Schizosaccharomyces pombe: one gene and its partner. Each later gene encodes a partner of the first gene's protein in a complex. Each region holds a gene or a part of one and is shown on either strand. Other genes may lie near its edges.

Region 1 (7,658 bases):
TCAACAATAATAATGGAATGCAAACTTCTAAGTTAGTTTAACCAGTTTATCTGAAAAATCTATCTCACCTTGATGGATTTTTATATTGACGGGATTGGAATGGTAAGCGGCGTAAAATGAATAGCTTCTGCTAAGCTAATTACTATTAGAATGGATTTTTCTTCATAGATTCTTACATAAGTCATTTCTTTGTTTTAATTTAAAACACTGGTTAACATGAAATACTTGAAATTTCACGAATTTTCCTGTTTTCCAAGTGTATGTCGAAAAGGCGATTGTGATGTAACAGCTAGTACAGGACGGCAAATTAAATAGACAATTCGATTCAATATGCTGTAACGATGATGGATTAAATATAAAATTCCTTTGTCTAGCATACTACCAATTTCTTTGTAAAAACGTTTAATGTTAAGTCTCCTTTATTTTACATACACTACACTACTACTACACAGCGTTATCCTCGACGGGCCTGATGTCTATCTTACATGTAGGAGCTACATAGTGGAAAATTTAAGGTAAACAACACTAAATCGACAGAACAAGATTAATATCTATTTAGAATGCATATAAAATCAAAGTGAGACGTTGAAACAATTTCCGAGGTACGTCTAAAAACCTCCAAAGGTCTCAAACAAAATCAAACTCTATCAATCATGACCGGTCGTAAACGCTCACGAACACTGAAATGCTATAGGAACGAAAGAGGGATCTAATTATGTTTAGAGATGCGCTAAGATCAATAGTCATCGTCGCATTTGCCCGTTAACAAATATTATTACGATTTAAATGAAAAGCAGCTTTATTAAAGAGCCTAAGGGAAGAATCAATGCTCCGAAAAAAAAAGACAAAGTAAAAGAGGGCGTAAACTGTAACCTAACGCAGATGTTATACCTCAATAATTATACCATTTTACACGAGCAAAATGAAAAGACAGAAAGGAATATTCGGGAAAGCAAAACTATTAAGTTCATCAAAAAATATTTGTTCGTTAAAAACCAAAAGGATTGTCTGGAGTAGCTTGATATATACTGGCTTTCTTACCAGCTTCATTCGCACCTTGCGCTCCACCAAATGATGAATCATAATAATTAGCAGGCTGCGTTTGTTGATTATAATCGGAGGGCATGTATAAAGAAGCATTCGATACAGGATCATAACTCATAGGGTTAGCCATATTCCCAGCAGGTTGAGCATAGCCATATTCAGAATATCCCTCCATTCCGGTTTGATTGTATCCATAGGGTGTCTGTTGTTGCATTTGCATGGGATCGTAATAGTTCGACATCATCGGTTGTTGATAACCCATATCAGGCTGCATTTCTGTACCATAGTATTGTTGCTGTTGCTGTTGCATAGGTGAGTACATTTGTTGTTGCTCGTAACCGAAAGATGTATCTTGACCTCCAGCAAATCCATAGTTCACCGGTGTCTGTGCATTCATGTTATAATATGCCTGTGTATCGTTCATGGATGGTTGCATGCCATAACCATCAGCAGCAGGCATGGCTGTAGGAGTATAGTTTTGCTGGTAGCCAGTGTATTGAGACAGCATTGGTTGTGCGACCATACCAGTTTTTTGAACTTGCACACCAGTCATCTGAGGCTGCATGGGCATTGATTGAGGCATGATACCAGTTACTTGAGGTTGCATACCAGTAGGCTGCATCATGCCAGTAGCTTGGGGCATGATACCAGTAGCTTGAGGTTGCATACCAGTAGGCTGCATCATGCCAGTAGCTTGAGTATGCAGGCCAGTAGGTTGTGTCATTATACCAGTAGCTTGAGCACGGATGCCCGTGGGCTGCGAAATTATACCAGTGGCTTGTGGTTGCATACCAGCAACTTGATAACCATAGTTTACGGGCTGCTGTGGCATAGCCCCAGTCTTCTGAACTTGTACACCAGTCATTTGTGGCATAACTCCAGTCATTTGTGGCACAACTCCAGTCATCTGTGGCATAACTCCAGTCACCTGAGGCATAACTCCAGTCATGTGGGGTTGTAAGCCAGTGGGCTGTACCATTAAAGGTTGATAACCAGTGGCCTGAACAGGAATTGGTTGCATATATCCTGTAGGTTGGATAGGAAGTGCGCTAGGAGGAGGTTGAAATCCAGTTGGCTGTACATACAAAGGAGATTGAAATGGATCGGCAGCCATGGGTTGAGGAGCAGTGAAATATGCATTTTGAATAGTAATATTGCCAGTTGGTTGAGCTGGAATAGGTGCTTGGACCGACTTCTCCGCATCCTTTTTCTCAACAGGTGCTTTCTTTTGTTCCTCAGGTTCAGGGATGGGTGCAGTTCTGGGTCTTGAAGGCGCCTCAGGTTTCTTGGCTTCCTCAGAAATGTTCATTTTGTTCATGGATTCCGTCACACGTGCAGGCTCAACAGTGACAGAAGAAGCACGAACAGGGGGTTCCGTAACAGGTTTGTTAGCCCAAGCATCATCATCGAATTTCTGGGGTGTGGTTGACTTCGGACGAGTCGCTGGTGGACTAGGTGCTTTTTCAACGACCTCCTTGGCAGGTGCTGCTGGAGGAGCAGGTTCGGCAACCGGCGCTGGGATGGGGGCAGGTACTGCGACTGGGGCAGCAAGTGCCTCCCCGCCGGACATAATTTGGTTGACTGTGGACTTGGTTTCTGGAGTAATGGCAGATGCAGGTTTTGTTGAGACACCATTGAGTTCATTAACATGATTCATAACACGAATGATATCACCTTCCTTTAATCCCAATGTTCTAAGTGTATCAGGATTTAGAGAAGGTATGCATGCTTCATCCAAATGCTCATTGTTAAAGTTATGGGTGTAGCGGTTACAAACGGTAAAATCTACGCCGCAGCGAAGGAAAAAGTCAAACCAGTCATAAGAGATCTTGGGCCTTTCCTGAATCACATCATATTTGTCATTGCTATGAGAGGAAGAGGGTGGAGCAAGAGCAGGTCTAGTACTTTCAGGACGGGCTGGTTGGGGAGGTGGACCTTCATCCTCCTCTTCAGTCTCTCTGTGCTTCCTATGTTCCCTATCCTTCTTCTTCTCTTTCTCCTTCTCACGATCATGCGACTTGCTATGACTATGGCCATGATCATGGCTTTGCTTCTGTGTATCCTTTTTCCTTTCTGTACGAGAATAAACTTTCTTGCCAGTCATTAATTCAACGTAATCCAGGTCCTTGTACGACATCTTCGCACTGGGAACAGATATTTTCACACCATTAGTTTTGTGTAGATGAATTTTGTCGTCGCTATAGCCCAAAAATTCGGCTTCAACTTTAAAGGCGCCTGTTCGATCAGTCCACGTACGCAGTTTACTGCTGTCAGGTTTACTAACCGAATGGCTCCTTGAACGCTTGCTATCCTCCTTCTTGTCCTTCTTGTCCTTCTTGTCCTTCTCAGCGGACTTGCTCTCACGGTGAGACTCATGTTTGCTTTCTGGTCTTGCTTCATGTTTACTGTCGCGTTTGTGTTTAGATTCGTGCTTGGAAGCCCTTCTAGAAAGCGAGGATCCCTGACCAGATTTCGAAGATGAAGGGGGTGACTTTGCGTCGCCTTCTGTATCGGGCTTAATAAAGTTGCTGGGTACAACACCTTCTTTACCATCAACACTGCATTTCCACCAGTCGCTACTTGCTGTGTCATTGACAATGACCACTCGCATATTCGCTTTCACAGTCAACTCATCAGCAGCCTCCGCGATAAAGTCGTAAAGCACAGTACCCATTTTTTGACCAGCTGAGGAATCCTTTGGCTTATGGTCCTCAGCACGCGCACTTCTGTCGCCGTAAACAGTAGACATTTCATAATCGCCGGTACGGCCTCCGTTTACACCAGCTGCATCGCTAGCAGCATTTAATCGGTGTAAAGCAGAATCTGAAGGTAGTTTAGGCATAGGGCTTCCACTTGCGGCAGCGATTTCTCGAAGACCAGCGGCTCTGGCGGAACCGGCTACGTCACCTAGCGCACGGATAATATTGTCGGCATTAGTGTTAGAGCTCGCATGAAGGTGCAAAGATGTGATACCGGAATCACTATTAAACTCGATAAAAACATGTTTTCGTTCAGAAGAATAATTTACAAGATCGGTAACGGGCCAAACTTGGGCAGCGTCCATGGTCTTAGTAAAAGTAAGAACAATTGACTTATTGTTGATTGCTAAAATACCAGTGCGTTTCTTTTTCTTGCCAACGACTTCACGGACCTCCCATTTTTCGTAGGCAGGATTACCCATGGAGGAAGAGGAATCGTAGGCTCGAGAATCGTCGTGGGAATCGGTGCGCAATTTGAGATGCTGATTAGGATCTCCATATGCATCTGAAGGCGACGAAGGAGAAGGAGGGGAGTCGTAGGAATGAGCCATAGAAGAGGAAGTGCCAGTAGATCTAGTAGACGCATTAGTTGGGGGTCTTGGCGGCTGACTAGGGGTGGCCGGTGGAGGAGGAATATTAACTTGGGAGCCAAGATTATTCACATTACGGGAAGGCATAGGTAGCTGAGAAGTATTAGTAGATTGGGGTGGAAGTGTTGGAGGTGGTGGTGGGGGAGGAGCCGGAAGAGGATCTGCTTGTTTCGGCGTGTACGTGGGAGGAATCTCAGGAGACACGGCTCTGCCAGAGGAGTAGTAGTCATCTGGCTCGTTGGCGTCTGCCGCCTGATCCTCCACTGCCGGAGGAGGTGGTGGTGGTGGTGGGGGGTTGTAGTCAGAGGGCAAGGAAGTAGCTGGAGCAGCAGCACTCGGCGGTTGAAACGAAGGTGGAGGAGAGACCATGGAGTTGGGAGCGCTCACTGTTGGAGCGTTGACACCAGAAGCAGAGGGTTCCTGAGATGCCGGGGCGCTGGACGCATCCATCCCCTCAACGTAGTTTCTCGGAGCAAGTCCGAAATTATTATTAAAACCAACCAAAATCCAATCTGAATCAGTGTCGCCATAACAGTCTAAAGTTTGGTCCGCTTGAAAGGAGATTTCATCAACGGATTGTTGAGTATAATCATACAAAGCTTTCATTTTTGTTGAGGGTTCAGCCTATACACAAAATGGTTAGCAAGCGGCTTTACAATAACATTATTACTAAATGAGCAAAGACAAGACTCGATCTATTTCTCCTTCACGTATCCTATCGCATCAAACATGTAGAAGACCGTGGTCTCTGTCATTTATTCTACACATACCTCAGTAATATAATTTGAAGGAACGATTCCAATTTCTTCATCGTCATCATTACTGTTTACATTCCGTTTGACGAGATACCAATCGTCTTCACCTTTCTCAAGAAGACAAACAATTTCATCCTCAACGATCGAGATTTCTCGTTCGTTTTCTGGAATCTCTTCACCCGGATTGATTTCTTGCGGTTCATAACTGTACAGCACCTTATAGATGCCTATTATAGGTAAATTTGCCATGGCGACAAATGTAGGTTGTACAGTCTGAGTTGATAAACGATGTAGCCAAGGTGGCTTTACCAGATTGTGTAAATGGTAGTGATGAGCAGTGCAACAAGTTAAAGATCTATAACGATGTAGTCAATAATTTGTTAAATAATCATAACAGTAATATTACCCTATTATTTCATTATGGGTTGTTTTACATGATGCAGCGATTCTCGTTATATCCAAGAAATTTAAAAGGTATACGATTTGAAGAAGAAAGGTTTGTTGCTTTTTAACAAATAAAATAATGCTTAAAGGTATGCAAGTTATTTTCTATGGCCTTCCTACCGCCAACTGGTGTTAGCAACTTGGAACCGAATAGTGAGCTGGCAATTGAAAACTACGAAAAGTAAATGACTCGAAGAACCAAGTGTACAAATTGCTGAGTACAAGACCATGCTTTCCAGATCTATATTCTGATGTACTGTACAAAATCCTCGTACATTGTCATCGAATAAAAGTTGCAAACTGTGAATTCAATAAAAATGAAGAAATAAATTACCTACCTTTTTGCTAGTTTAAATTGTTTGCGAGATTGACAAAAAGTCGAATGTTTTTCGTATCCAATGTGAGCTAAGATTTGTCGCAATGTGAATTGAAATATTAATCACATTATTTGTAAGTAAGCAAAGTAAAGGACCGTTTCAAACTTTTCTTAATTTCTTTAATTTGGCTGCTAATATTGACTACAATAAACTATACTTGGTAGCATTATGTTGTATTACTATCGTCAGTGTGGAGTTTTAGTACCAAAAGGCAACAAAAAAATAATTTTCTAGTATAACAACTGCGATTATGGTGAATTCTTTTTTTTTTCTTTTTAATTAGAAAAAAAAAATTAAAAGATTTCGGTGGTTTAATAGTTCACACTCAATTGGGTGTTTCTAATTGTGCGCTGTCAAATTACATGAAAATATGCTAGTATAATAGGGAAAAAATGGATAACAAGAACCCCAAATTAATTAGGCCGTAATTCAATTTTTTATATCATTTATTCGTTATTAAATTGGAGTTTTTTTTGGGTAACAATAGGTACATCTATACTTACAATTAAAAAAAATAAATAAATAAATAAATGAATTATGCTTAAATTCCAAGAAATTCCATAAACTCTATAGTTATCCTATTCAATGGATATAATATTTTTATTTATTAGTTCAATTTAAATTCAATAAATTGTCTGCTGAAATTTAGACGCATGTTGCTATTGCTTATTCTTTAAGCAAGCAATTATTGCATCAGGAATATAATTAACACTCAGTATTACAAACTAGTATATGAAGTATTACTTATATGCTACAAGTATTCAAATAGTTAATAAAAACAAAACAATATTATGTTAACCTCGATTTGCATGCTTCAGCGATCGACCAAAAATACCAGCATATAGAGTAGAAATGTGAAGATAATATAACATAGAGCGCCTTCTATATAAAACTAAAAATCCTAAATGGTAAAAAATTATACAATTTATTACAATTGAGTTAAATCAACAGTTACTACTTTATTCAACATAACAAACATTATTAAGTATCGACAGATAAACCCTACCCTAATTCATTATTGAACGGTCACAAATGTTCGTGTGGGTTTAGTAGGTACATTGCACAAGCTACCGTCTGAACCACCACAGAAATGGCAGCCTCTATCATCCCTAAAGAAGTTTCCTTGGATGAAACTGGACATATCAAATTGTTCAACAAATTTCCTTTTGAAGGTGTTGAAGTGAAGGATATCTCTTTGGTGTATGTATAAGGTGGGATTGTGTTTTCTAGCTGCTAGTAAACTTTCCAGATTTTGTGCTTGGAATTGTCTGAAATATACAAATTCAATTGTAGTTACTTGGTTTCATGAAAGGGAACTGCTGACAATACGTTACTTGGATATGCTGTTGTAATTTTTTTTTTCAGTCAATTCACTAGTTTTACTTGACCTAAACCTTGGAGCAAATGTGGAAAAAGCAGCTGGAAATTACAAAAGTTTTCATTTACACCAACTTTTCATGTTATTTCAGAATTTCTAACTTTATTTAGTGATTACATTACCATTGGCAATGGTCAACCTCTCCCTCACACCGCTGGTCGTTTCCAGACCAAGAGGTTCCGTAAGGCCCGCTGCTTCATTGTCGAACGTTTGACCAACAGTTTGATGATGAACGGCCGTAACAACGGTAAGAAGCTCTTGGCCACTCGCATTGTCAAGCATGCTTTTGAGATCATTGCTCTCTTGACCGA
Region 2 (4,905 bases), on another chromosome or scaffold:
ACGTTTCGCAAATGTGAATTACATAATACGCCACAATTTGTAATAAATATTTTGTGAAATGTTTTGCCATATCCTTAAGTTCTTCCTTACATAAATTGTTGGCGATGGCGTTCACAAACGAATCTTCATTTCATTCCTTCTCTGTTTCAAATTTTTGTGGAAAAAGCATATCCATATTCTTACTAAATCGGATTTCTGGACTTTTCTATTGCTTTGGAAATCCATTATCCTTGTAGTTCACTCATTTGCGCCTCAAATCCTTTATAATTGGAATTGGCTGTTTACATTGATAATTTAGCATTTTTGCATCATACTCAACCCTTTTTTTCTTCTTTTATATTTGAGTTGTTGAATTTTTTTTCAAGTGACTGTAGTTTTTTCAACATTTTCCGTTTATTTATATTAATCCGCCTTTAAAATAATTAAGGCACATTCAAAGACCAATATAGGAAGCAATAACGACATCATGACTGAAAAACACACCCTTCGCCTCGCTGATCCTTCTGCTATTGATTCAATTATTTCTGTTGATGAGTTTCTACAAATCAAGGAACAATACGATGCAGAACAACCTCTGATTACTTTACAAACCAAATTTAACCTTGCTTGGGCATTGGTACGCTCAGATTCTACACAGCATGTACAACAGGGATTATCTTTGTTCTGCAGCATTTACAAAGATTCACCGGAAAGGCGTTTGGAATGCCTCTACTACATTGCTTTGTCCCATTACAAATTGAAGCAGTATGAAGAATCCCGTCGTTATCTCAATATGTTGTTATCCAAAGATCCAAATAGCCCAGAGGCTTTAAAGCTAAAAAACCGTCTTTACGATGCTGTTACAAAAGGTATGTTTATTTTAATAAAACTTAATGAGGTATCACATATGCATGAATGTTGTGTTTATGTTAGAAAGATGCGTTATAAATAATGAAAAGAATCATTACTAACCCGTTTTTAGAAGGATACATTGGAATGGTTGTGGTAGCTGGTGCAGTGGTGTCAGTTGCAGCTCTTGTAGGTTGGGCATCAAAACGGTTGTTTTCAAAGCGTCGTCCTTAAACCGTAAACGATATTAATCACAAGGGAGCTTTCTTTTGCATAAATTCTTCAATTTTTTCTCCTTACGAACAATAGGATTGTGGATGTATCCTTTTCATGAAACGCGTATGAGTTACGAAGGCTTTGGGAGACATTATAGTGTGCACTTTTTTTAGAAAAAGAAGATTATAAATCGAAGCTTGTTGTTTTTATTATATTATCTTTTCTTCTTACCCAGTTGATAGTTCTGAATTCGCTTGTGTTTCTTCTTAACAGCAGGGTAATAAATTTACCTCAAGGAGGTTTTAGATTGTTATAAAAAGAGAGTGAGTATTTATTATAAAAGCTGAATAAGTTCCTCCTTTTATACTAATTCAAAAGTTTTGTATCGATTAAACCAAAAAATATAATGATGGACATTAATGAATGATTTTACAATCCAATTCCCTCTTCCTGTTTGAACAGTTTATTAAGCCCAATAAAGAAAGAAAGAAAGAGTGTACCTTCGTCGATTTTCCAAGAAAACATCCAAAGACTCAAGTATTTGAGATGATGAGCTTTATAAACGAGATTTTGTTAAGACAGACTACGAAGCCTTTCCTCTAGCTTAGCCACTTGAGACTTCCGACCTTCCAAGTGACGTCCCAAAACATTAAGTTGTTGTTCCAGCATTTTTAAGTCATTATCAATGGCGGAAGCGCTGGGGCCATTTGGTCCATCATTTTTTAGAGATTGAAGGATACCCAACTTATAGTCAAGTACTTTCTGTAAATCACGTTGAATAAGCTTTGACTTATTTTGTGCAATGTTAACATCGTCAGTTTCACGTTGAAGGGAAAGAATCTTTTCGTCCAATTTGGACAGCTCATTTCTTAATGAAATCAGCTCCCAGTCAGAGTCTCTCACATCCCTCGGGGCATCAAGATCACTCTTCGGCTTCGCACCACCCGTAGATGGAGCCATTGTAGGTGAAGAGTAATAGTTATTAGTAGAGTTGTAGGAATCTAAATTATAATCGATATTTCCTCTCTTAAAACTAGCCTTTAAACTGTACGGGACATCATTAGGAATACGGAATCCGTTGGATCTCTGAGTAAGGATGTGCAAAAATACTAAACACTGATCTTTCTGTATGGTTTCAGTACCCTGAGGATTGACAAGTTTCCAAGCCTTCTGAATTTGAGAGTTGGGAACCCCAAAAGGAGTAAATACAGGTGCCAGGCCATTAAAAGATACTTCTCCGTGTTTATTGCAATGTAGGGAGTAAATATCGGAATATCGAATTTTATCGGATGGAGAAATGTACCAATCAAATCCATCTTTTAAAACGGCATCTTCCGGGTCGGTATCAAGCGAAGGTACTTTGTGTAAGAGAGCAATATCATCATTTCCACGAAGAGCATCTCGAGCTGCTACTAAATGCTTTTTGGAAGTAGACACCAACGCCTCGGGTACTCTATCTGGAACGGTTTTGTAAACCTAATGGTTAGAAATGATGAAAATAGACAAAAAAAGAAACCCTAAAAACCAAAGGTAGCCTTTCACAATAAAAACAATCAAACAAGTGGAAGGGATAAAAGAAAAAATGAAGGCTTTACGCAAGCGCCGTCTTCTTAAATCATTCATATCTTATTCCATCTTTTTACATTTATTTAATCCATGCTTCACAGGTTCATTCATGAGTAAAGTAAGTGGTTTCATACCCCATTAATCAAATCAAAGGTGATTTTCATAGCAATTGCAAATTCATCAAAATCAAACATTCCATCATCATCAATATCTATCCATATTCGTAACATTAGCACACGTTCGATTAAACGACTCAGACCGCAAACTCATGTTTTCCGTACCTGCTAAATCCCAAATTTTTTCCAATTTATCGCTTGAAAGCTTACTACTACGGAGGACTCCAGCAGCTTTGGATCCTGATAAATAGCCATTTTCTGGATTCAAGCCGCGAAAAATTTCCCAATACTTATTTTTCTCTTGGGGATCCATTATGTCGAGTTCTAGTAAATTTTAATACCCTAAAATATCTAATTCTCCTGAATCGTGTACGGCCAGTGGAAAAGTAAAAGAACTCAGTATATTGACCTTTCTTTTACCTTTTTCCAATGTTTGCTCATACTACGTGTCTTGTTTACGGTAAGCTCACAGACTACCGGATGTGATTCGGAAGTTGCGCGGCATTTCCCCGTTAAAATTACGAAACGCAATTAAGCACAACAATAATACTCTATCCTTAAATATCAAAGCCTAGCGCGCTGCATTTTTCAATGAATACCTGTAAAGAGTATGGTAAAATCGTTACCTCTGCCAACAACAATTTTTGCAGAGAAAAGAGGAAGAAATGCCAAAATCAAGGAGGTCGAAAGTTTTGACTCTCGCTCAAACTGAGAAAAAGGGTCATGAAGGAAAGGCTGCTCTTTTCTCTGGAGTACAGCAATCGCTGGATTCGTTTGACTATGTAAGTGAAAATGGGCTCGGTTGAGGAGTTGTAACAGAAATATCGTGCTGAAGGATTACAAAATGAGAAAAACGAGCATCATGGATTTAGATGCTTATTTTTAGTGATTGAATTGTCTATTTTTGTACGAAGGTGTTTCCAAATGCTTTGAAGTTGAAATTCAACAGTACAGCTTTTTAGATTATGAGTTCTCGTTGAGGTTTTAAAGTTATACTTTTTTTTCCAATTATCTACTTATTTATTAGCACTGCTAACAAATACCCATCTGTTTACACCTTCTACTCGATCGTATAAAATTTTAAATGGCTGTTTTACTAACTGTTTATTTTCAATAGATGTGGATTTTTGATGTCACTAATATGAGAAACACATATTTAAAACGTATCCGTGATGATTGGAAGGGTAGTCGTATTTTTATGGGAAAAACTAAGGTCATGGCAAAGGCGTTAGGACACACGCCTGAGGAAGAACATGCCGAGAACGTTAGCAAGCTTACAAAATTGCTTCATGGTGCCGTCGGCTTATTATTCACAAACTCTAAGCCCGATGAAGTTATTGGATACTTTGAATCCTTCGTCCAAAACGACTTTGCTCGCGCTGGCGCTGTTGCTCCTTTTACTCATGTTATTCCTGCTGGTCCTGTTTATTCTCGTGCTGGTCAAATTCCCGTCGAAGATGATATTTTGTTGACCCATACATTAGAGCCACAAGTTCGTCAACTTGGTATGCCTACTGTTTTGAAGAATGGTGTTGTGACGTTGTTAGCTGATTTCCCTCTTTGTACTGAAGGTCAACAACTGGACAGTCGTCAAACACGTTTGCTGAAGTTATTTGGAATCACGGCTGCTGAGTTTAAGGTTGGGCTTTTGGGCTATTATTCAAAGAAAGGTGCTTCTGTTGAGTTTCTTCAATCCGCACCTGGTGCAGACGAAGCCATGGAGTAAAATGTATATTACAGTTAAATGGACACATCGCGTGCACTATTGCATTATCAAAGTTTTTTGCTTTTTATTTTCGGATAAAATAAAATGAAAAGAAGGGTTACTAGATTAGTGAAAGCCCTGTGTTACCGTGCTTGCATAGTTGACGGACTTTGGATTTAAAACAATGGTTTTTTGTTCATGCTCTGATAAATTTACATAGAGATATGTACTCTTTCTTTTCTTTTACTTACTTTTGGGGGATTATTGGTTATTTCTTTTCCATAGCGGATGAAAATATATGAATAATATTTTTATACACTTTAAAATGAGTCATGTAGCACGTTGACATGGTAAAGTTAGTTTGCTAGTTTCACTTTCGCTGTGAAGGCCCTAAAAGTTGATTTCCAAACTCCAATTGTTGCTTTCGTAACGTACGAAAGAATGGAAACAACGAAACTGATTGTTCTTTTGACC

What was found.
Region 2: shd1 (region 1) and end3 share a complex: the UniProt entries of both Schizosaccharomyces pombe proteins name them as parts of the PAN1 actin cytoskeleton-regulatory complex.

What each region holds. Positions count from the first base shown.
Region 1 is NC_003424.3:3,496,788-3,504,445, reverse strand, and holds shd1 (Sla1 family protein Shd1), read right to left. Parts: upstream 5,424-7,658; 5' UTR 5,398-5,423; coding exon 5,164-5,397; exon of another isoform or gene 5,018-5,163; coding exon 989-5,017; 3' UTR 531-988; downstream 1-530. Other genes in the region: fatty acid alpha-oxygenase Mpo1, read right to left, coding at 1-24, 69-135, 177-185; rps502 (40S ribosomal protein uS7), read left to right, coding at 7,060-7,169, 7,458-7,658. UniProt on the Schizosaccharomyces pombe protein: Component of the PAN1 actin cytoskeleton-regulatory complex required for the internalization of endosomes during actin-coupled endocytosis. The complex links the site of endocytosis to the cell membrane-associated actin cytoskeleton.
Region 2 is NC_003423.3:1,757,341-1,762,245, forward strand, and holds end3 (actin cortical patch component End3), read right to left. Parts: upstream 3,040-4,905; coding exon 2,892-3,039; intron 2,822-2,891; coding exon 2,745-2,821; intron 2,521-2,744; coding exon 1,618-2,520; 3' UTR 1,063-1,617; coding exon of another isoform or gene 962-1,062; 3' UTR 849-961; downstream 1-848. Other genes in the region: protein Fis1, read left to right, coding at 467-848, 962-1,062; mRNA turnover and ribosome assembly protein Mrt4, read left to right, coding at 3,392-3,508, 3,844-4,452. UniProt on the Schizosaccharomyces pombe protein: Component of the PAN1 actin cytoskeleton-regulatory complex required for the internalization of endosomes during actin-coupled endocytosis. The complex links the site of endocytosis to the cell membrane-associated actin cytoskeleton.